Linked DNA regions of Anolis sagrei. The protein of the gene in region 2 purifies or fractionates together with the protein of the main gene of each other region. This does not show direct contact. Links are inferred from orthologs where the notes say so. Each region holds a gene or a part of one and is shown on either strand. Other genes may lie near its edges.

What was found. Proteins that work in one complex are often made in the same cells at the same time.
Region 1: the proteins of MYO1E (region 2) and OSTF1 purify together in Homo sapiens (co-immunoprecipitation; 3 studies listed by BioGRID and IntAct, counting the BioPlex papers as one, with this or other methods). This does not show direct contact. The link is inferred for Anolis sagrei from reciprocal best matches to the Homo sapiens genes MYO1E and OSTF1.

What each region holds. Positions count from the first base shown.
Region 1 is NC_090022.1:224,609,859-224,620,924, forward strand, and holds the start of OSTF1 (osteoclast-stimulating factor 1), read left to right. Parts: upstream 1-3,717; 5' UTR 3,718-3,948; coding exon 3,949-3,982; intron 3,983-11,066. Other genes in the region: NMRK1 (nicotinamide riboside kinase 1), read right to left, coding at 1,055-1,083.
Region 2 is NC_090029.1:12,002,346-12,013,411, forward strand, and holds the start of MYO1E (unconventional myosin-Ie), read left to right. Parts: upstream 1-4,832; 5' UTR 4,833-4,944; coding exon 4,945-4,947; intron 4,948-11,066. UniProt on the Homo sapiens protein: Actin-based motor molecule with ATPase activity. Unconventional myosins serve in intracellular movements. Their highly divergent tails bind to membranous compartments, which are then moved relative to actin filaments.

The DNA of each region.
Region 1 (11,066 bases), on a different chromosome or scaffold from region 2:
TAGTCTGCATTAAGCGCATAGTGTGAGATCTACATAAGACTTTAGCAAGAGTATTCGATTTTTCTCTGAGGAAGGCAATTGCACTGTCTACCCACATAATTTGGCACCTGGAACAACATCCTGGTGAATCTTGAGAACCAGTACTACAGTAACCATCAGGGTTTGAGTGCTCATAAATTCAGGCACATATACATTTTTTTGCTGGGTTTATCATGTGTATCTTATTTTCATATGCCAAACATGAACAGTCAATAAACAATGTATGTTATGCTTTCATGGATATGGTTTTATTTCCTATTGGTAATCCAGAATCCTATTACCGTATTGCCTGATAGGGTCAGACCCCAGCATTCTTACATTATTTTATGGTTTCCTTGCTTGATTTTCTTTTGTTTTGTGGCACATTGTAAATCACTTTGGAATTTCTGGGTTGTTGTAGGTTTTTTTGGGCTATATGGCCATGTTCTAGAGCAGTGGTTCTCAATCTGGGGTCCCCAGATGTTTTTGACCTACAACTCCCAGAAATCCCAGCCAGTTTACCAGCTGTTAGGATTTCGGGGAGTTGAAGGCCAAAAACATCTGGGGACCCCAGGTTGAGAATCTTCAGAGGTTGTGAGGTCAGACCCCAGGTTGAGAATCACTGTTCTAGAGGCATTCTCTCCTGAGGTCTGACCTCACAACCTCTGAAGATGCCTGCCATAGATGCAGGTGAAAGATCAGGAGATAATGCCTCTAGAACATGGCCATATAGCCCAAAAAAACCAACAACAACCCAGTGATTCCAGCCATGAAAGCTTTCAACAATACACTTTGGAATCTTTTGGAATAAAACGCTTTATGGAAAAATCTATATAAATAAATCGGACATAGATAAGAGAGGCCAGATAGCAGTCTGGTAGCTCTTATCCATGTCTGAGGATAAGAGATACAGGATATGATGTAGGTTGAAAAAATAAAGTGAAAAAAGATGGGAAAAAATATACCCCACATTCAATTATTGATAAAAACTTAGCATATAAAGGAAAGCAGTATTGTAGATTATGTTCACACTCACCCTCCAAGTCCAATGACCAAGATTTTCATAGTTCCTTTTTAATCTAAAAAATTAAATTGAGAGGATTGTGTGTTAGGAACAAATATTTTTTTTCCACAATCTATTTTTGATAGACTGCAAAAGTAAAGTAAAATTAGACATAATATGTAATTCATATCCAAAAATCCCACTTGTAAATATTTGCTGGGAAGGTTATATCTATTTGCAAGTTTCTTTGTTGCCCGTGTATTTGCAAAAGCCTTTTTCTCCCACCCTGTGCCATGTCTGCCGAATCTTAAACTAACACAAAGCCTTCATTTATAGGAGGTTCACCATCAGAAATCGAAATATACAAACCATTTTACATTGTAGGTTGCCCGGATTACAAAATAGAAGCAGCTCAGTAAGGCATTATTTAAACAAGCATTACACATAAAATATGGCACACACACCCCAATAGTTATTGAAGTATCACAGACATAGAGTATACTAGGGACAAGGTATGCAGCACATGTACTTGTTGTGATATCATACATTTTATTACTAAACATTTCAGGGCCCACATCTGTGAGTGTATCTACACTGTATGATTAATGCAGTTTGCCCCCACATGAACTGCCATGGTTCAATGCAATGGAGTCATGGAAATTGTACTTTCACAAGATCTTTAGCTTTCTCTGGCAAAGAGTGCTGGGACCTCAGCAAACTACAATCCCCGTGATTCCATAGCATTGAGTCATAGCAGTTCAAGTAATGTCAAACTGCATTAATTCTACAATGTGGAACGTGTTGTTTAGATACAGATGCAAACTATTAGTGCAAATGAAAAATATTAATATAACCGAAATGAGAAATATAAATGTAATTCACTAGGGCAGTGGTTCTCAACCTGTGGGTCCCCAGGTGTTTTGGCCTACAACTCCCAGAAATACCAGCCAGTTTACCAGATGTTAGGATTTCTGGGAGCTGAAGGCCAAAACATCTGGGGACCCACAGGTTGAGAACCACTGCACTAGTGAAAGAGTTGCTGCTGAGCTATTTATCAACCAAAAGATAAAAGCCTCTGGACTCTGTTACGTAAATTCTGGTGCAATTTAAAAGTTTCAGTCACCAGAGCAGAAAGCCAAGACAAACTAGCAAACACTAAAGAGGGACATTGTGTGTATGTGCCTTCAAGTCCCCTCTTGACTTATGACGATCCTATTAATTTCACAGAGCTTTCTTTGGCAAGGAATACTCAGGGATGGTTTTGCCATTACATACAATGAAAAGACACCCTGGAGTTATATTCTGTACCTTTGTCTGTTATAGACATTGAGTTTGATTCTTCTTTAACTATGAAATATTTCAAAAGGACCATCACAAAATAAATAGAATAAAAATGCCATTTATGACTTCCACTGAGTTATGACCAAATTATATTGATACACAATTTAAGACAATGCTTTGTTACAAATTACAATTATAGCTTTCTTGTGTAGGGTCCTGTGGCAATTCAACATCATGAGGTAGCCCAATCCTTACCACACTTTTAAAAAGGCCACAGTAGATTCACTAGTTATTAGGGTGTATCTATACTATAGGTAAAGGTAAAGGTTTTCCCCTGACATTAAGTCCAGTCGTGTCCGGCTCTGGGGGTTGGTGCTCATCTCCTAAGCCGAAGAGCTGGCGTTGTCCGTAGACACCACCAAGGTCATGTGGCCAGCATGACTGCCTGGAGCACCGTTACCTTCCTGCTGGAGCGATACCTATCTATCTACTCACATTTGCATGTTTTCAAACTGCTAGGTTGGCAGAAGCTGGGGCTGACAGCGGAAGCTCACGCCGCTCCCCGCATTCGAACCTGCAACCTTTCGGTCAACAAATTTAGCAGCTCAGCAGTTTAACCCACTGTGCCACCAGGGGCTATCTATACTATAGATATCTATACTCTAGAACCTATATAAACTAGAGAATTAATGCAGTTTGACACCATTTTATCTGACATAGTTCAATGCTATGGAATCCTGGGAGTTGTAAATTGGTGGGGCTTAGAGTGCTTTGTCAGGGATGTTGAAGAGCCTTGCAAAAATAAAACCCCCAGAGCTCCAGAATTGAGCCATAGCAATTAAACTGGGATTAAACTGCATTAATTCTAGAGTGTAGATGAATCCCTAGTCCATCTACACGACCTATTTCAAAATATTACCATTATCTTTTAGAGCAAAGCTCTTATGCAACCAGCAAACATCAAAGCAATCCAAGAACTGCACCCACTTACCTTCCTTCTTCGAACAAAAAGTGCAAAAAACCACAATAAAGACACCAGGGTCTCCTCTGCCTGTCACTCACAAGCCACGCCCCCTTCTTCTCCAACCCCGTTAGAGAAAGCACCGTCGACCCCGCCCACCAAGGAAAGGGGAGGTGGGCAGTCCTATGCAAATTTGCTACATATAAGCTCCGCCCCTTTCTCCTACACCCCAATAGAGAAGCAAGGCACGATGCGAGGACGTTCTATGCAAATAGGGTATATTCAAGCCCCGCCCCTTCCTCCTCTAACCCGTTACAGAAGCACCATCGGTCTCCCACTCCCAGGAAAGGGGCGGAGCATATGTAAATACACCCACTCCCATAGGCCAAGTCTCTCAAGTCCGAGGGTGTCGCCACGCCCCCTATTCGGGATTGGCTGGGCGCTAAGTCGGGAGAGCTGCCCTGGGCAAGAGTCTTTCCCAATGCCTGCGGTGCCCAAGAGCGGCCACTGGGGGCGCAGCGAGCAGCATCTGCTTCGCAGTGGCGACGCTTCCCACTTCCTCATCTTCGCGAAAAGTAACTTGTGAGCCTTTCGGGGCGGTGGGCGAGGCGATCCCTGCAGGAGGAAGCAAGCTCGATCGACCCACATCCAAAAGGCTTGGAAGGCTCGCCGATCCGACCCAGCTATGTCCAAGCCGCCGCCTAAACCGGCCAAACCAGGTAAAGGGGGGAGATCTAAGCTTTTGAGCCAGGAAAGGGGGAGATCTACACTGTGGAACGAATGCAGTTTGGCATCACTTCCTCGGAGTTGTAGTGAGGCACCAGCACTCTTGGGCAGAGAAGGCTGGAGACCTTGTGGGACTACAACTCCCAGGATTCCATAGCCTTGGGCAGTGTGGCAGTTCAGCATTCGTTTCAACCTTGACGGAAGACTCGCAGGAGAGCGTGAGAAGAAGGGGAAGATCCACCTTGACACGTGGATCACTTTTCCCCCTTCGGAAAAGCATTGCCTTCCTTTCCCTCCACTCCCTGCAGCGTCAGCATACGCTTGGCACGCGAATTAGCACAGAGCCCGGGGCTGAGAGAGTGTGACTTGCTGAGCCAGGATTCGCACCCAGCACTCTCGACTCCAACCACGGTGGCAGCGTAGCTCCTGGGTTGTTGTGAGTTTTGAGGGCTGTATGGCTATGTCCCAGAAGCATTCTCTCCTGACGTTTCGCCTGCATCTATGTCAGGCATCCTCAGAGGTTGTGAGGTCTGTTGGAAACCAGGTTTGTATCTCTTTGGAATGTCCAGGGTGGGAGAAAGAACTCTTGCCTGATTGAGGCTACTGTGGATGTTGCAACTGGCCACTTTGATTAGCACTGAATAGCCTTGCAGCTTCAAAGCCTGGCCGCTTCTTGCCTGGGGGAATCCTTTGTTGGGAGGTGTTAACTGGCCTTGATTGTTTCCTGTATGGAATTCCCCTATTTTCTTAGTGTTCTTTATTTACTGTCCTATTTTAGAGTTTTTTTAAATACCGGTAGCCAGATTTTGTTCATATTCATGGTGTCCTCTTTTCTGTTGAAATTGTCCTCATGCTTGTGGATTTCAGTGGCTTCTCTGTGTGGCCTGACATGGTGGTTGTTACAGTGGTTCAGCAATTCAGTGTTCTCAGATACTATGTTGTGTCCAGGTTGGTTCATCAAGTGTTCTGCTATGGTTGGCTTCTCTGGTTCAATCAGTCTGCAGTGCCTTTCAGTTATTGTCATTTTTATTGAAATAAGAAACAATCAGGGCCAGCTAATCACCTCCCAACAAAGGATTCCCCCAGGCAGGAAGAAGCCAGACCTTGAAACTGCTAGGCCATTAAATGCTAATCAAGGTGGCCAATTACAACATTCACACCTGCCTCAAACAGACAAGAGTTATTTCTCCCACCCTGGACATTGCAGAGATATACAAACCCAATTTTCTTAGTTTCCAACAGACCTCACAGCCTCTGAGCCTTCCACAGATGTAGGCGAAACGTCAGAAGAGAATGCTTCTGGGCCATGGCCATACAGCCCGGAAAACACAGCAACTCAGTGATTCCGGCCATGAAAGTCTTCGATAATACAGCATGGCTCCTGTTTCCTAGAATCTAAAAAAAATCTAACTTGATTTACTCTTGTCCCAAGTCTGTTTTTAAGAGACTTGGAGCTGATAACACTGTAGAATGAACGCAGTTTGTTTGACATTCCCTTTAACTGCCATGGCTCAATGCTATGGAATCATGGGATCTGTAGTTTGGCAGAGAAGGCTGAAGAGGCCTTGGTAAACTACAACTCCCAAGATTCCGTAGCACTGAGCCAAGGCAGTCAAAGTAGTGCCAGGCTGTATTCAGTGGACAGTGTAGACGCGCCCATTGAAAGAGAGAGACAAGAGAGATAGAGAGAGGTAACCCGAAGCCTTCCTCCCTGATCCGGGGTGTGGCCGGCAGCGGCAGGGATCGATCGCGGAGCAGGAAGTGCGGTGCAGACTGCACCAAATGCTCCCTTTCTTCGCCTTCCGCCCGCAGAGCTGAGAGAGAGGGTGATCGATCCAATGGGATCTTCTTACAAACGCTGCTGCGGTTGGTGGCAGCAGTGACTTGGGAGAATTTGTTTTGGTGCATCTTTGAAGGTGCCAAAGCCTTAGGGTGTATCTAAACCAGGCATGGGCAAACGTGGGCCCTCCAGGTGTTTTGGACTCTAACTCCCAAAAGTTGGGATTCACCCAGGCAGGAAGCAGCCAGGCTTTGAAGTTGCAAAGCTATTCAGTGCGAATCAAGATGGCCAATTGCAACATTCACAGTTGTCTCAATCAGACAAGAGTTCTATCTCCCACCCTGGACATTCCACAGATATATAAACCCAATTTCCTTAGTTTCCAACAGACCTCACAACCTCTGAGGATGCCTGCCATAGATGCAGGCGAAATGTCAGGTGAGAATGCTTCTGGAACATAGCCATACAGCCCGGAAAAACCAGCTGTTAGGAATTGTGGGAGTTGGAGTCCAAAACACCTGGAGGACCAAGTGTCCCCATGCCTGATCAAAACTGTAGGATTAATGCAGTTTAATGCCACCGTTAACAGCCATGGCTCCATGCTATGGAATCCTGGGAGTTGCAGTTTGATGAAGTACAAGCACTCTTCGGCAGAGAAGGCTAATCACTGTAAAACTACTGCCATCTCTTAGCATCAAGCAATGGCAGATTTTCAAAATCATATCATAAGCGACTTGAGAAACTGCAAGTTGCTTTTCATGTCAGCAGAGATGTTGCTCAGGGGACGCCCAGATGTGTTACCATCCTGTGGGAGGCTTCTCTCAGGTCCTCGCATGGGAAGCTGGAGCTGACAGACAGGAGCTCGTCTTCAGGTCAGCAGTTCAGCCAGATTTCAACTCCCACAATTCCTAGCAGCATGGGCAAACTAGGGTCCTCCAGGTGTTTTGGACTCCCAACTCCTACAATTCCTAGCAGCCATTAGGCTGTTAAGAATTGTGGGAGTGGAAGTCCACAACACCTGGAGGGCCGAAATTTGCCCATGCCTGGGTTAACCCATTGCACCACCGCGGCTTCCACCACCATGGCAGTCAAAGTGGTGTCAAACTGCATTCATTCTTCAATGGAGATGCATCCGTAGATACCAACAGACACCACCCTGGATACGTCTTCTGAGGCTTAAGGTGCACCTTAAGGTCTAACTGATATCTAATAGGAGCTACAGTCTAACAGTTGACACCCCAAAAGCTGGACTTTACCTCTCCTTGCCTCAACATCTAATATGTTTGATTTAGAATACAACCCACTGTCTCATGGGCGGTTGCCTGGCATCCTTGTTGTTCAGAGTGGAGCCATGTGTAGCATAAAGAGTGTGTGGACTGAGTCAGGTGATGCCATTAGAGGGGCCACAACCAAAAATATCTAAATTTTGTGCAGTGTTTCAGCCTTTGTTTGTTTTTTGTTTTTTGTTTTTTAAATCCCTGTAGCACAATATAACACAAAGTAGTGTTCCCTCGCTACTTTGTGGTTCGCTTTTTTGTGGACTCACTGTTTTGCGGGTTTTTGCCTCCTGGCAACGATGGAGTGTGGAAGGCGGTTTCACCCTCCCCCTCGGGGGAGAGACAGCCAATCATAAAAAAAGAGAGAGAGGCACGGCCTTATAGCCCCTTATAGCTAACAAAGAAAAAAGAAAAAAAGAAGTGTGCGGTTCCTTTAAATCTCTCCTTGCTTCTACCTCACCCTCAGAATGCGATATATATAGATATATATAGCGCATCCCTATCTTGCAGATTTTCACTTTTTGCGGGTGGTCCTGAAACATAACTCCCGCGATAAATGAGGGAACACTGTAACCTCAAAAACAACTGTGTATGTCCAGTTTAAAGGTAAAGGTTACTGCTTGACATTAATTCTGTCATGTCTAACTCTGGGGGGTAGTACTCATCTCCATTTCTAAGGAATGCAGTTACCTTTCTGCCAAACATATTGCTCTATTCACATTTGCATGTTTTTGAACTGCTAAGTTGGCAGAAGCTGGGGCTAACAGTGAAAATTCACCCAGCTCCCCAGATTCAACCCGCTGACCTTTTGGTCAGCAAGTTCAGCAGCTCAGCAGTTTAACCCACTGAACCACCAGAGGCTTCAATTTATATCCTTTATCCAGCATTCTGAATCCAGTAGGCTCTCAGGCTGCTTCTATTCAGCCACATACTAATAGTAATAGTAATAGTAATAATAATAATAATAATAATAATAATAATAATCAACTTTATTTATACCCCGCCACCATCTCCCTGATGGGGACTCGGAGCGGCTTACATGAGGCCAAGCCCAACAACACAATACAATAAATGATGTCAAAACACACACAATAACGTGATAAATTACATGAAACATAAAAATACAACAAACAATTTAAAATTAAAATCAATCATAACGCAGTGATTGTGACAGTGACAGTGAATGGGCCGAATGTACAGAATAAAATACTAAAGCTAAAAACTAAAAACATGGGGTGATATAGGGATGGAGCCGATTATTTGTGAAAGAGAAAATCTTCGGAAATGAGGTCAAGAAGGATCAGAATGTGGATTAAAGAAATCCAGTCTCCACATGGACCTTCAGGAACCGCAAAAAAGTTCCCACATAGTCACAAGGCTCCCCTCGTACCAAATTGATCAAGAGGAATATTTTTTTCCCCTTACCTGGTTGGAAGAAATGAACCAATTGCAGCAGCTCTTTGGATGAGAATCAGAAGTAGAACTCACCTTTTAGCTAAAAAAAAAAAAAAAAGGGGGGGGGGGGAGAGGTGTTCATTTACCTCACTGAGAGCATCATATCCAGTTCCTTCATTTGAATTTTCCAGTAGTGCTTCTGTTTACATAAGTGCTGCGCATGTTGCTCTAGAATGTTTGCTCTGCCACATCCATTCACTGATCAACTGCAGTGAACCGTAGTGATGCAATGGGTTAAACCCTTGTTCCAGCTGAACTGCTGAACTGAAGGTCCACGGTTCGAATCCGGGGAGTGAGGTGAGCTCTTGTCTGTCAGCTCCAGCTTCCCATGCATGGACATGACTGAAGCCTCCCACAGGATGGTAACACATCCAGGCGTCCCCTGGGCAACGTCATTGCAGATGGCCAATTCTCTCACACCAGAAACTACTTGCATTTAATCTCAAATCACTTCTGACACAATAAAGCTACAGTACATTTTATCACTGATTTCGGACTTTCTCCTGACTTTTTAAAGCACGTGTTTTTTGTTTGGATGTGCTCTGCAGCACACATTAGGAGCTTGTGTTTTCTATTTATTTTTATTTATTTGAAACATTTATATTCCGGCCTTCTCACCCCGCAGGGGACTCAGTGTGGAGTACACTCGTATATACAGCAAACATTCAATGCCGGAACATAAAACCATAAATGTATACAAACATTAAAATCACTTATATCCACTTTAAAATAAGTTGCTTTAAAACCATCTCAGGACACCATTCTATTATTGCCTCACTGCATTGCCCCAAAGGCTTGCGCCCACAGCCAGGTCTAGTCCCCTCCCCTCCAATAATCCACATCATCCTGGATTTTACAGCATATGTATATGGTCCCTTAGTTAACCACAGTACAAACTATGCATCAAATTAGACAGATATGCGTTTCCCCAAACTTTCCATGCATCCTATGATGTGCCAACGCAGGCTATGATTGCAAAATTCTTTAGTATTTGTTCAACATTTGATGCATTTTTAAAGCATTATTTTTAAAAAAAATACAAAATACATATAAATCTGTTATACAAAGTACACTACAAAGAATTTATTCATATGTTTCCTCCGAAATGCACAGTTGAAAATCCCATTTCCTTATTCAAAGTGAGAATGCCCTCTTTCTGCTAGTGCTTCAGCTCACTTTCTCCTTCTGACCCTGAAGTATAGGTACCATGTGTTGCCCTACTCCTGAGTTTACTTTTTTGGACTACAGGCAGTCCCCGAATTACAAACATTCAGCTTACAAAAGACAGCAGGAAGTGAGAGAAATCTAATCTACCCCTTGGAAGGGAAATTCACTCCTGAAAGACTTATCATGGAGGAAAGGGTGTCTCAACTGAAGCTTTCTCACCAATCCTTGTTTCCACAACTAGCCAAATGTTTCAAAATCCAAATATCACAGGGACATAAAGTGAGATGAAATCTTCTGAACAGGGGCACAGACAGCAAAACAAACTCCACAAGGGTGTTAACTAACCCCTATGCTATTCAAAGCTTATCTATATCTTATCTATAAAGTAAAGGTAAAGGTTTCCCCTTGACCTTAAGTCTTGTTGTTGTTCATTCATTCAGTCGTTTCCGACTCTTTGTGACTTCATGGACCAGCCCACGCCAGAACTCCCTGTCGGCCATTACCACCCCCAGCTCCTTCAAGGTCAATCCAGTCACTTCAAGGATGCCATCCATCCATCTTGCCCTTGGTCGGCCTCTCTTCCTTTTTCCTTCCATTTCCCCAGCATAATTGTTACTTTCCCACTGAAGTGGTGCCTATTAATGTCACATGTGCATATTTTCAAACTGCTAGGTTTGTATAAGCTGGGGCTAGTAGCGGGAACTTCCTGGATTTGAACCGCTGACTTTTTGGTCCACAAGTTCAGCAGCTCACTTTAACCCACAGTGCCACCAGGGGCTCTGATCTATATGTATATCTATATCTATATATCTATATCTATATCTATATCTAACTTGTCATACTGTTGGAGGGCCGGATTATAATTTTAAAAAAACATGAATGAATTCCTTTGCACACGGAACATATCTTTTTTATTGCTTTAGTGTTTTTTGCACTACAAAAAAGATATGTTCCGTGTGCAAAGGAATTCATTCATGTTTTTAAAAAATTATAATCCGGCCCTCCAACAGTATGAGGGGCTGTCACCTCTGTTTAAAATGTTTGAGGACCCCTGGTGTAGACAGTCATGAAACCCGCATAATGCCTGATATATACACTAGTTTATATATCTAAAAAAGCACCCACAATTCTAAGGTACATCCTGTTCTAGAGATGTTTATATGGGGGAAAATTGTGTTGGTGGCTGGATCTACATTGCTATGTAATGCAGTTTTGAAATGCAGATTAACTGCATTGAACTGGATTATGTGAGGCCTCTTCTACACTGCCATATAATCAGATTATCGAAATAGTTTTCTTTGAACTGGATTATATGAGTCTACACTGCCATATATTCCAGTTCAAAACACATAATATGGATGTTATATGGCAGTGTAGAAGGGACCTGAGTCTACATTG
Region 2 (11,066 bases):
AATAGAAAGATGAAGGAAGAGGAAAGGAAAGAAAAGGAAAAGACCTCCCTGAAGAAGAATCCTGGAAGTCAAGCGGATTGAAGAACGAAACATCTTGAATCTTTTCTTTTAACTGTCACTTTTACTACACTCATATATCCTTTTCCCTCTCTTCTTATTCTTTTTTTATCCTACCTACACGGCCTCACACCCTTCCCCTTCCCCTCCCCCCTCTCCCCTTCTTCCCTTCTTCTTTCTACCTCTGAACTTCCCCCCCCCCACCCCAATATCTCAATTGTTTGTATATATATGAAAATTGCAATAAATATATTTGAAAAAAAAGAGAGAGAGAGACTAGGACTCCATGGAACAATGGGTTCAAATTACCAGAAAGGAGATTCCACCTGAACACTAGGAAGAACTTCCTCACTGTTCAACAGAGGAACTTTCTGCCTTGGAGTGTGGTAGAAGCTCCCTGGAGTGTGGTAGAAGATGGAATGGCCCTCTGTTGGGGGTGCTTTGATTGTGCTTTCCCTGCATGGCAGATGGGGGTTGGACTGGATGACCTCCAAGGTCTCTTCTAAAACCGAAACGTGCAAACACTAACGTTTGATGTCTGAGTCGGGACACACACATAACGAGAGGCTGTCAACAATGGTGCTGCTGGGATGGAAAGACAAATCCAAGTGGACAGTAAATAAATACATTATTTCCAATGGAATTTAAAATCATGGATGTAAAATTAAATGATTCAGAATGTAATGAAAATAGAATGCAAGAAGCTGAAGAGAGATGGAAGCAGGTCAAGAATTATAATATGAATAAGTCTAGAGATCAGGGCATAAGAAATAGAAGACAAATGTTATACAGTATGTAAATCCAGAAGAATTGTCTCCAAAGGGATTAATATGTGAAAGAAAATAATCCTTGGGGTGGTGGTGGTGGGAATTGTAACGGTTGTGTTTGTGTGTGTCCTAAAATTAATTAATTAATTATATATATAGAGAGAGAGAGAGAGAGAGAGGTTGCTTACCTGTAAACATAGTTTCCCGAGTGGTAGCCTGTGAATTCACACATCCCCGCCCATACACACACACACACACACACACACACTAGCTGTCCCCTGCTACGCATTGCTGTGGTCCAGTCTGTGTATATGTTTTGTGTGTGTGTATATATTGTTGTTGTTCATTCGTTCAGTCGTCTCCGACTCTTCGTGACCTCATGTGTATATATATATATGTGTTTATGTGTGTGTATATATTTGTGTATGAGTGTATATATGTGTGTTTGCATAGATAGATAGATAGATAGATAGATAGATAGATAGATGGGTGTATATGTGTGTGTGTGCATATGTGTGTATACGTGTGTATATATTCGTGTATTTTTGTGTTTATATGTGTATATGTATATTGAGTATATGTGTGTGATTGTGTATATATATGTGTGTATGTATGTCTATATGTGAAAAAAAGTAATCCTTGTTGTTGTGGTGGTGGGAATTGTAACGGTTGTGTTTGTGTGTGTCCTAAAATTATATACACACACACACACACACACTAGCTGTCCCCTGCCACGCATTGCTGTGGTCCAGTCTGTGTATATGTTTTGTGTGTGTATATATATATGTGTGTTTATGTGTGTGTATATATTTGTGTATGAGTGTATATATGTGTGTTTGCATAGATAGATAGATAGATAGATAGATAGATAGATAGGTGTATATGTGTGTGTGTGCATATGTGTGTATACGTGTGTATATATTCGTGTATTTTTGTGTTTATATGTGTATATGTATATTGAGTATATGTGTGTGATTGTGTATATATATGTGTGTATGTATGTCTATATGTGTATGTGTGTATATGTATGTGTATATTTGTGTATGCTGGTGTATATATATGTGTGTGTATGTCTGTCTGTACGTATGTATGTGTGCATATGTATATGAATATGAGTGTATGTGTATATGTATATGTAGTTTATTTTGGGGGGTTTAAAGTCCGTTCTGCTGGGTATTTTGTGTGTTTTTAGGGGTGATGGACACTCATTGGCCTGATAGGTGTATTGTGTCCAAATTTGGTGTCAATTCATCCAGTGGTTTTTGAGTTATGTTAATCCCACAAACAAACATTACATTTATTGATTTATTTATTTATATTTATATTTATATATACACACACACACTAGCCGTTCCCTGCCACGCGTTGCTGTGGCCCACTCTGGTGGTCACGGGGGTTCTGTGTGGGAGGTTTGGCACAATTCTATCGTTGGTGGGGTTCAGAATGCTCTGTGGTTCTAGGTGAACTATAAATCCCAGCAACTGCAAATCCCAAATGTCGAGATTCTATTTTCCAGTGTTCACATTTGGGCATATTGAGTATTCATGTAGAGTTTGGTCCAGGTCCATCATTGTTTGAGTCCACAGTGCTCTCTGGATGTAGGTGAACTATAACTCCCAAACTCAAGGTCAATGCCCACCAAACCCTTCTAGTGTTTCTGTTGGTCATGGGAGTCCTGTGTGTCTATCTATGGCTGGATGGCTCTTTGTCAGGAGGGCTCTGATTACATTTTCTTTCCCTGGTGAAGAGAGTTGGACTGTTGGTCATGGGGGTTCTGTGTGGGAAATTTGCTCCAATTCTATCGTTGGTGAGACTCAGAATTGTAGGTGAACTATAAATCCCAGTTACTACAAATCCCAAATGTCAAGGTCTATTTTCCCCAAACTCCATCTGTGTTCATATTTGGGCATATGGAATATTTGTGCCAGTTTTGGTCCAGATCCATCATTGTTTGAGTCCACAGTTCTCTCTGGATGTAGGTGAACTACAACTCCCAAACTCAAGGTCAATGCCCACCAAACCCTTCCAGTATTTTCTGTTGGTCATGGGAGTTCTGTGTGCCAAGTTTGGTTCAATTCCATCCTTGGTGAAGTTCAGAATACTAGGACGCGGAACAATGGCTTCAAACTACAAGAGAGGAGATTCCATCTGAACATGAGGAAGAACTTCCTGACTGTGAGAGCCGTTCAGCAGTGGAACTCTCTGCCCCGGAGTGTGGCGGAGGCTCCTTCTTTGGAAGCTTTTAAGCAGAGGCTGGATGGCCATCTGTCAGGGGTGATTTGAATGCAATATTCCTGCTTCTTGGCAGAATGGGGTTGGACTGGATGGCCCATGAGGTCTCTTCCAACTCTTTGAGTCTATGATTCTATGATTGTTTGAGTCCACAGTGCTCTCTGGATGTAGGTGAACTACAACTCCCAAACTCAAGGTCAATGCCCACCAAACCCTTCCAGTATTTTCTGTTGGTCATGGGAGTTCTGTGTGCCAAGTTTGGTTCAATTCCATCCTTGGTGAAGTTCAGAATACTAGGACGCGGAACAATGGCTTCAAACTACAAGAGAGGAGATTCCATCTGAACATGAGGAAGAACTTCCTGACTGTGAGAGCCGTTCAGCAGTGGAACTCTCTGCCCCAGAGTGTGGTGGAGGCTCCTTCTTTGGAAGCTTTTAAACAGAGGCTGGATGGCCATTTGTCAGGGATGATTTGAATGCAATATTCCTGCTTCTTGGCAGGGGGTTGGACTGGATGGCCCATGAGGTCTCTTCCAACTCTTTGATTCTATGATTCTATGATTGTTTGAGTCCACAGCGCTCTCTGGATGTAGGTGAACTACAACTCCCAAACTCAAGGTCAATGCCCACCAAACCCTTCCAGTATTTTCTGTTGGTCATGGGAGTTCTGTGTGCCAAGTTTGGTTCAATTCCATCATTGGTGGAGTTCAGAATGCTCTGTGATTGTAAGTGAACTATAAATCCCAGCAACTGCAAATCCCAAATGTCGAGATTCTATTTTCCAGTGTTCACATTTGGGCATATTGAGTATTCATGTAGAGTTTGGTCCAGGTCCATCATTGTTTGAGTCCACAGTGCTCTCTGGATGTAGGTGAACTACAACTCCCAAACTCAAGGTCAATGCCCACCAAACCCTTCTAGTGTTTCTGTTGGTCATGGGAGTCCTGTGTGCCAAGTTTGGTTCAATTCCATCATTGGTGGAGTTCAGAATACTCTGTGATTGTAAGTGAACTATAAATCCCAGCAACTGCAAATCCCAAATGTCGAGATTCTATTTTCCAGTGTTCACATTTGGGCATATTGAGTATTCATGTAGAGTTTGGTCCAGGTCCGTCATTGTTTGAGTCCACAATGCTCTCTGGATGTAGGTGAACTACAACTCCCAAACTCAAGGTCAATGCCCACCAAACCCTTCCAGTATTTTCTGTTGGTCGTGGGAGTTCTGCGTGCCAAGTTTGGCTCAATTCCATCATTGGTGGAGTTCAGAATACTCTGTGATTGTAGGTGAACTATAAATCCCAGCAACTACAACTCCCAGAGGACAAAATCATAATTTTTTGAGTGATGGTCACTCCTTGTGTTGTGAGACATTTTGTTGCCAAATTTGGTGTGATTTCGTTCATTGGTTCTTTTGTTTTTAAGGCACTCATTATGCACAGAGCATCTATCTATCTATCTATCTACCTACCTACCTACCTACCTACCTACCTACCTACCTACCTACCTACCTACCTATCTATCTATCTATCTATCTATCTATCTATCTATCTATCTATCTATCTATCTATCTATCTATCTATCTATCTATCTATCTATCTATCTATCTATCTATCTATCTATCTATCTATCTATCTAATAGATTCTAAAGCACGGGGTGTCAGGGCGCTGCGATGGCGGTCCGTGGCCACCAGGGGCCGCTGCCGGGCAACCCAGTCTCGCCTATGCTGCGCCGAGGGGGCGTGGCCACTCCCTATCCCCGCCCACTTGGCCACGCCCCCTTTTCATCCTCCTCCTCCTCCTCTCGCTCTTTGCCTCAGAGGGAGCCGGAGGGGCGGCGGGAGAGAGAGAGAGAGGGAAAGATCGCCATCCATCCTTCCGTCCATCCAGCCATGGTGAGTGTTGAGGCCTACGCTGGAGTAGGGAAGCGGGAAGGAAGGGAGGACGGGTGAGAGTATGGTAGCTGGGTCGGGAAGCTCCGAGCGTTACGCACATTCCGCAACGGCGGTTGTGAATAAGGGAAGGGGAGAGCGGCAGGCCTGCCGCTCTCCCCTTCCCTTATTCACAACCGCCGTTGCGGAATGTGCGTAACGCTCGGCGCTTCCCGACCCAGCTACCATACTCTCACCCATCTCCTAGGATCCAGTTCAAACTGAGCTCAAACCACAAGGCCTACTAAACCTGACAGGATCAGGAACATCATATCTATATACACAAAAATGTGTAATGTTGGTTTGTGGGATTAACACAACTCAAAAACCACTGGATGAATTGCTCCCAAATTTGGACACAAGACACCTAACACCCCAATGTATGTCCTCCACTCAAAAAGAATTGATTTTGTCATTTGGGAGTTGTAGTTGCTGGGATGTATAGTTCACCTACAATCAAAGAGCATTCTGAACTCCACCAATGATGGAATTGAACCAAACATGGCATACAGAACTCCCACGACCAATAGAAAAAACTGGAAGGGTTTGGTGGGCAGTGTCCTTTGGTTTTGGAGTTGTAGTTCACCTACATCCACAGAGCACTGTGGACTCAAACAATGATGGAATTGGATCAAACTCTACACGAATACTCAATATGCCCAAATGGGAACACTGGTGGAGTTTGGGGAAAATAGAATCTTGACATTTGGGAGTTGTAGTTGCTGGGATTTGTAGTTCACCTATAAACAAACAGCATTCTGAACCCCAACCGGGGCATACAGGACTCCCATGACCAACAGAAACACTAGAAGGGTTTGGTGGGCATTGACCTTGGGTTTGGGAGTTGTAGTTCACCTATATCCAAAGACTACCATGGACTCAAACAACGATGGATCTGGACCAAACTTGGCACGAATATTCCATATGCCCAAATATGAACACAGATGGAGTTTGGGGGGAAATAGACCTTGCCATTTGTAGTTACTGGGATTCGCAGTTTACCTACAATCAAAGAGCATTCTGAACCCCACGAATGACAGAATCGGGGCAAAATTCCCACACAGAATCCCCCGTGACCAATCGGGGCACACAGGACTCCCATGACCAACAGAAACACTAGAAGGGTTTGGCAAGCATTGACCTTGAGTTTGGGAGTTGTAGTTCACCTACATCCAGAGACAACCATGGACTCAAACAACGATGGATCTGGACCAAACTTGGCACGAATATTACGTATGCCCAAATATGAACACAGATGGAGTTTGGGGGGAAATAGACCATTTGTAGTTACTGGGATTCGCAGTTCACCTACAATCAAAGAGCATTCTGAACCCCACGAACAACAGAATTCGGGCAAACTTCCCACACAGAATCCCCCATGACCAACAGAAAATGTTTAAGGCCATCCAGTCCAATTCCCTTCACCAGGGAAAGAAAATGTAATCAAAGCCCTCCTGACAAAGAGCCATCCAGCCATAGATATAGATAGATAGATATGATTCACACACAGAGAGATATAGATTTGAAAGGGACCCCTAAAGAAGGACAATGATATGTTGCATGTTCCAGAGTACGCAAACCAGACCATCTCCACATCAACACTGACAAACAAACAACAAGAAATACTGTTTACCCACAAGCATAAGGAAATTATATATATTAGAAGCCAACACTTTCTCATTACTTTATTTTCCAGATCACCAGGCTGGGCCACAGCAACGTGTGGCAGGGCACGGCTAGTCTATATAAATAAAAATGTAATGTTCATTTGTGGGATTAACACAACTCAAAAACCACTGGACGAATTGACACCAAGTTTGGACACAAGACACCAATTGGACGAATGAGTGACCATCACTCATAAAAACACTGAAAAACACAGCAGAAGAGACTTAGAAAGCCAAAACAAACAAAAATGCATTACAACGCATATGCAAAACCACATATATACAGAAATCACACATATATACAAATACACACACAAAACGTATATACACAGACTGAGCCACAGCAACGTGTGGCAGGGGACGGCTAGTAAACGTAATAATGGCGTCGCTAATTTGGGCCCAAGGAATGGAGCAACAAGAGGGGGCTTGCCCTCAAATGTCCCACTTGGCCCGCTTTCGGGCTCCTCTTTGCACCCAAATGGCACAGGTTGGCGCACCCTCCTCCTCCCAGGTTTCCATATTGTGCTTCCAGTCTTTTTTCTCTACTTTATGGCAGACAAGTCTTGCGATACATGTCAAACAATCCTGAAACATTGGAAGGCTATGATTTCAGCACCTTTTCAGGCTGGGGACCCCCCAGGGGTGGATGGAGCATCCCTCTGAAAAGATGGCCAGGCTGACCCCAAGTTGCCAACATGAGAGGCTCACTCGGTTTGCACTTATGTAAGTCAGAACATGGACATGTTATCAGTGTAACCCCACTTACTTACTTACTTACTTGTCTAAGTAGAATAATCCTCCAGGGTGGATCCGTAGGTGACCGTGGAGCCCTATTCTTGATCTGCATCTTCTCCCTCAGTGAGGGCATCGGTTTCCAGGTGGAAGGCGGTCCCGGTCGGGGTTGGCTTGACGTGCCTTCCTCTTGGCACGTTTTTCTCTTTCGCACTCCATTCGTGTCTCTTCAAATTCTGCAGCACTGCTGGTCACAGCTGACCTCCAGCTGGAGTGCTCAAGGGCCAGGGCTTCCCAGGTCTCAGTGTCTATGCTGAAGGTTTTAAGGTTGGCTTTGAGCCCATCTTTCAGTCTCTTTTCCTGCCCACCAACATTCCGTTTTCCGTTCTTGAGTTTGGAGTACAGCAACTGCTTTGGGAGACGGTGGTTGGGCATTCGGACAACATGGCCAGTCCAGCGGAGTTGATGGCGGAGGACCATCACTTCAGTGCTGGTGGTCTTCGCTTCTTCCAGCACGCTGACATTTGTCCGCTTGTCTTCCCAAGAGATTTGCAGGATTTTCCGGAGGCAGCGCTGATGGAATCGTTCCAGGAGTTGCATGTGACGTCTGTAGACAGTCCATGTCTCGTAGGCGTATAGCAGGGTTGGGAGGACAATAACTTTATAAACAAGCACCTTGGTATCCCTACAGATGTCCCGGTCCTCAAACACTCCCTGCTTCATTCGGAAAAATGCTGCATTCACAGAGCTCAGGCGGTGTTGTATTTCGGTGTCGATGTTGACTTTGGTGGAGAGGTGGCTGCCCAGGTAGCGGAAATGGTCAACATTTTCTAATGTTACACCATTAAGCTATATCTCTGGCATTGGAGAGGGATTGGCCGGTGACTGCTGGAAGAGCAATTTGGTTTTCTTGATGTTCAATGACAGGCCAAGCTTCTCGTATGCTTCTGCAAAGGTATTTAGAGTGATTTGTAGGTCTTCTTCTGAATGCGCACAGATGACATTGTCATCAGCATACTGGAGTTCTATAATAGATGTTGTTGTAACCTTGGTTTTGGCTTTCAGTCTGCTGAGGTTAAATAGCTTCTGTCCGATAGATGATTTCCACTCTGGTGGGAAGCTTCTCATCAACAAGATGAAGTATCATAGTGATGAAGATGGAAAATAAGGTTGGGGCAATAACACATCCCTGTTTGACACCTGATTCCACCTTAAATGGGTCCCTTTGGGAGCCATTGCTGTCCCAGACTGATGCCATCATGTCATCATGGAGGAGCCGCAGGATGTTCACAAATTTGTTATCTACCTATCTATCTATCTATCTTTAAGCTTTGGATCTCCTAGGAGTGACCGCCCCGGTGGGGTTTCCTTTGCTGCCAGTGCTCCTGTTTGGAGGAAGGATTCCACCTCACTTTCTGTCCCTGCAAGAATGGGTTTTTGAACATTTTGGCTTGTTGTGCACACAGATTGGGGGTGAAGCTCCAGTGGAAGTGAGGTTCCTATCACTTCCGATTCTTCTTCACAGTGAGTTGTTTGTAAGTCAGATGTTTGTAACTTGGGAAGGCCTATATTTATATATAATAAATACTATATAATTATATCATACTAGCTGTCCCCTGCCAGGCGTTGCTGTGGCCCAGTCTGGTGATCTGGAAAATAAAGTAATGAGAAAGTGTTGGTTTCTAATATAAGTAATTTCTTTGTGCTTGTGGGTAAACAGTATTTATTGTTGTTTCTTTGTCAGTGTTGATGTGGAGAGTGTCTAGTTTGCCTACTCTGGAACATGCAACATATCATTGTCCTTCTCTAGGAGTCCCTTTCAAATCTATGATGCTATATCTGTGTGTGTGTGTGAATCATATCTATCTATCTATATCTATATCTATGGCTGGATGGCTCTTTGTCAGGAGAGCTCTGATTACATTTTCTTTCCCTGGTGAAGAGTTGGACTGTTGGTCATGGGGGTTCTGTGTGGAAAATTTGCCCCAATTCTGTCGTTTGTGTTATTCAGAATTGTAGGTGAACTATAAATCCCAGTAACTACAAATCCCAAATGTCAAGGTCTATTTCCCCCAAACTCCATCTGTGTTCATATTTGGCCATTTGGAATATTTGTGCCAAGTTTGGTCCAGCTCCATCATTGTTTGAGTCCACAGTGCTCTCTGGATGTAGGTGAACTACAACTCCCAAACTCAAGGTCAAAGCCCACCAAACCCTTCTCGTGTTTTCTGTTGGTCATGGGAGTCCTGTGTGCTAAGTTTGGTTCAATTCCATCGTTGGTGGAGTTCAGAATGCTCTTTGATTGTAGGTGAACTATAAATCCTAGCAACTACAAATCCCAAATGTCAAGGTCTATTTCCCCCAAACTCCATCTGTGTTCATATTTGGGCATATGGAATATTTGTGCCAAGTTTGGTCCAGATCCATCATTGTTTGAGTCCACAGTGCTCTCTGGATGTAGGTGAACTACAACTCCTAAACTCAAGGTCAATGCCCACCAAACCCTTCTAGTGTTTTCTGTTGGTCATGGGAGTCCTGTGTGCCATGTTTGGTTCAATGCCATAATTGGTGGAGTTCAGGATTCTCTTTGATTGTAGGTGAACTATAAATCCCAGCAACTACAACTCCCAAGTGACAAAATCAATTTTTTTGAGTGAAGGACATACATTGGGGTGTTAGGTGTCTTGTGTCTAAATTTAGTGTCAATTTGTCCAGTGGTTTTTGAGTTATGTTAATCCCACAAACGAACATTACATTTTTATTTATATAGATAATATAATAATGATGCTAATAATATATGACATTCCTCTCACTTCCTGTTGTCTCAGCCCTGTTGTTCTTAACTAGGAGTCATTTGCAAGTTGGGTGTTTGTAACTCAGGATTGGCCTTTATATATACAAAATAGTAATATAATAATAATAATAATAATAATAATATGATCTTACAAGAATAATACAAATCATATACTATATATACTCGAGTATAAGCCTAGTTTTTCAGCTTCTTTTTTAGGGTGAAAAAGCTCCCCTCGGCTTGTACTCGAGTCAAGGTTATTTATTATTTTATCATGATTTCTATTACATTTATTATTTTCTCTATTTAATATTATTATTACATTTACATTATTTTACTCTTATTATTTTGTTTACATTTTTATTTTACTCTTATTTATTGTTACTTTTTCATTTGTTATTTTTCTCTAGTCATGTTTTTATTACATCTATTATATTACTCTATTATTATTGCTATTACATTTATTATTTTACTCTTATTGTTACATTTACATTATTTTACTCTATTATTGTTGTTATTACATTTATTATTTCACTCCATGAATTATTGTTATTACGTTTATTATTTTACTCCATGTATTGTTATTATTACATTTACTATTTTACTCTATTTTTATCATTACATTTGTTATTTTACTCTATTATAACTGTTATTATTACATTTCCATTATTTTACTCTATTATTATTATTTATACTACATTTATTATTTAGTATATTATTAATATATAATTATTATATTTAGTATATTTTTATATTTAGTATATTATTAATAATATAATTATTAATATTATTTAGTATATTATTTAGTATATTTATTATTGGAAGGATATGTATGTAAGCGCTTTGACATTGAAGGAGGTTAAAATAATGGCTTAATCACAGTTGGACAG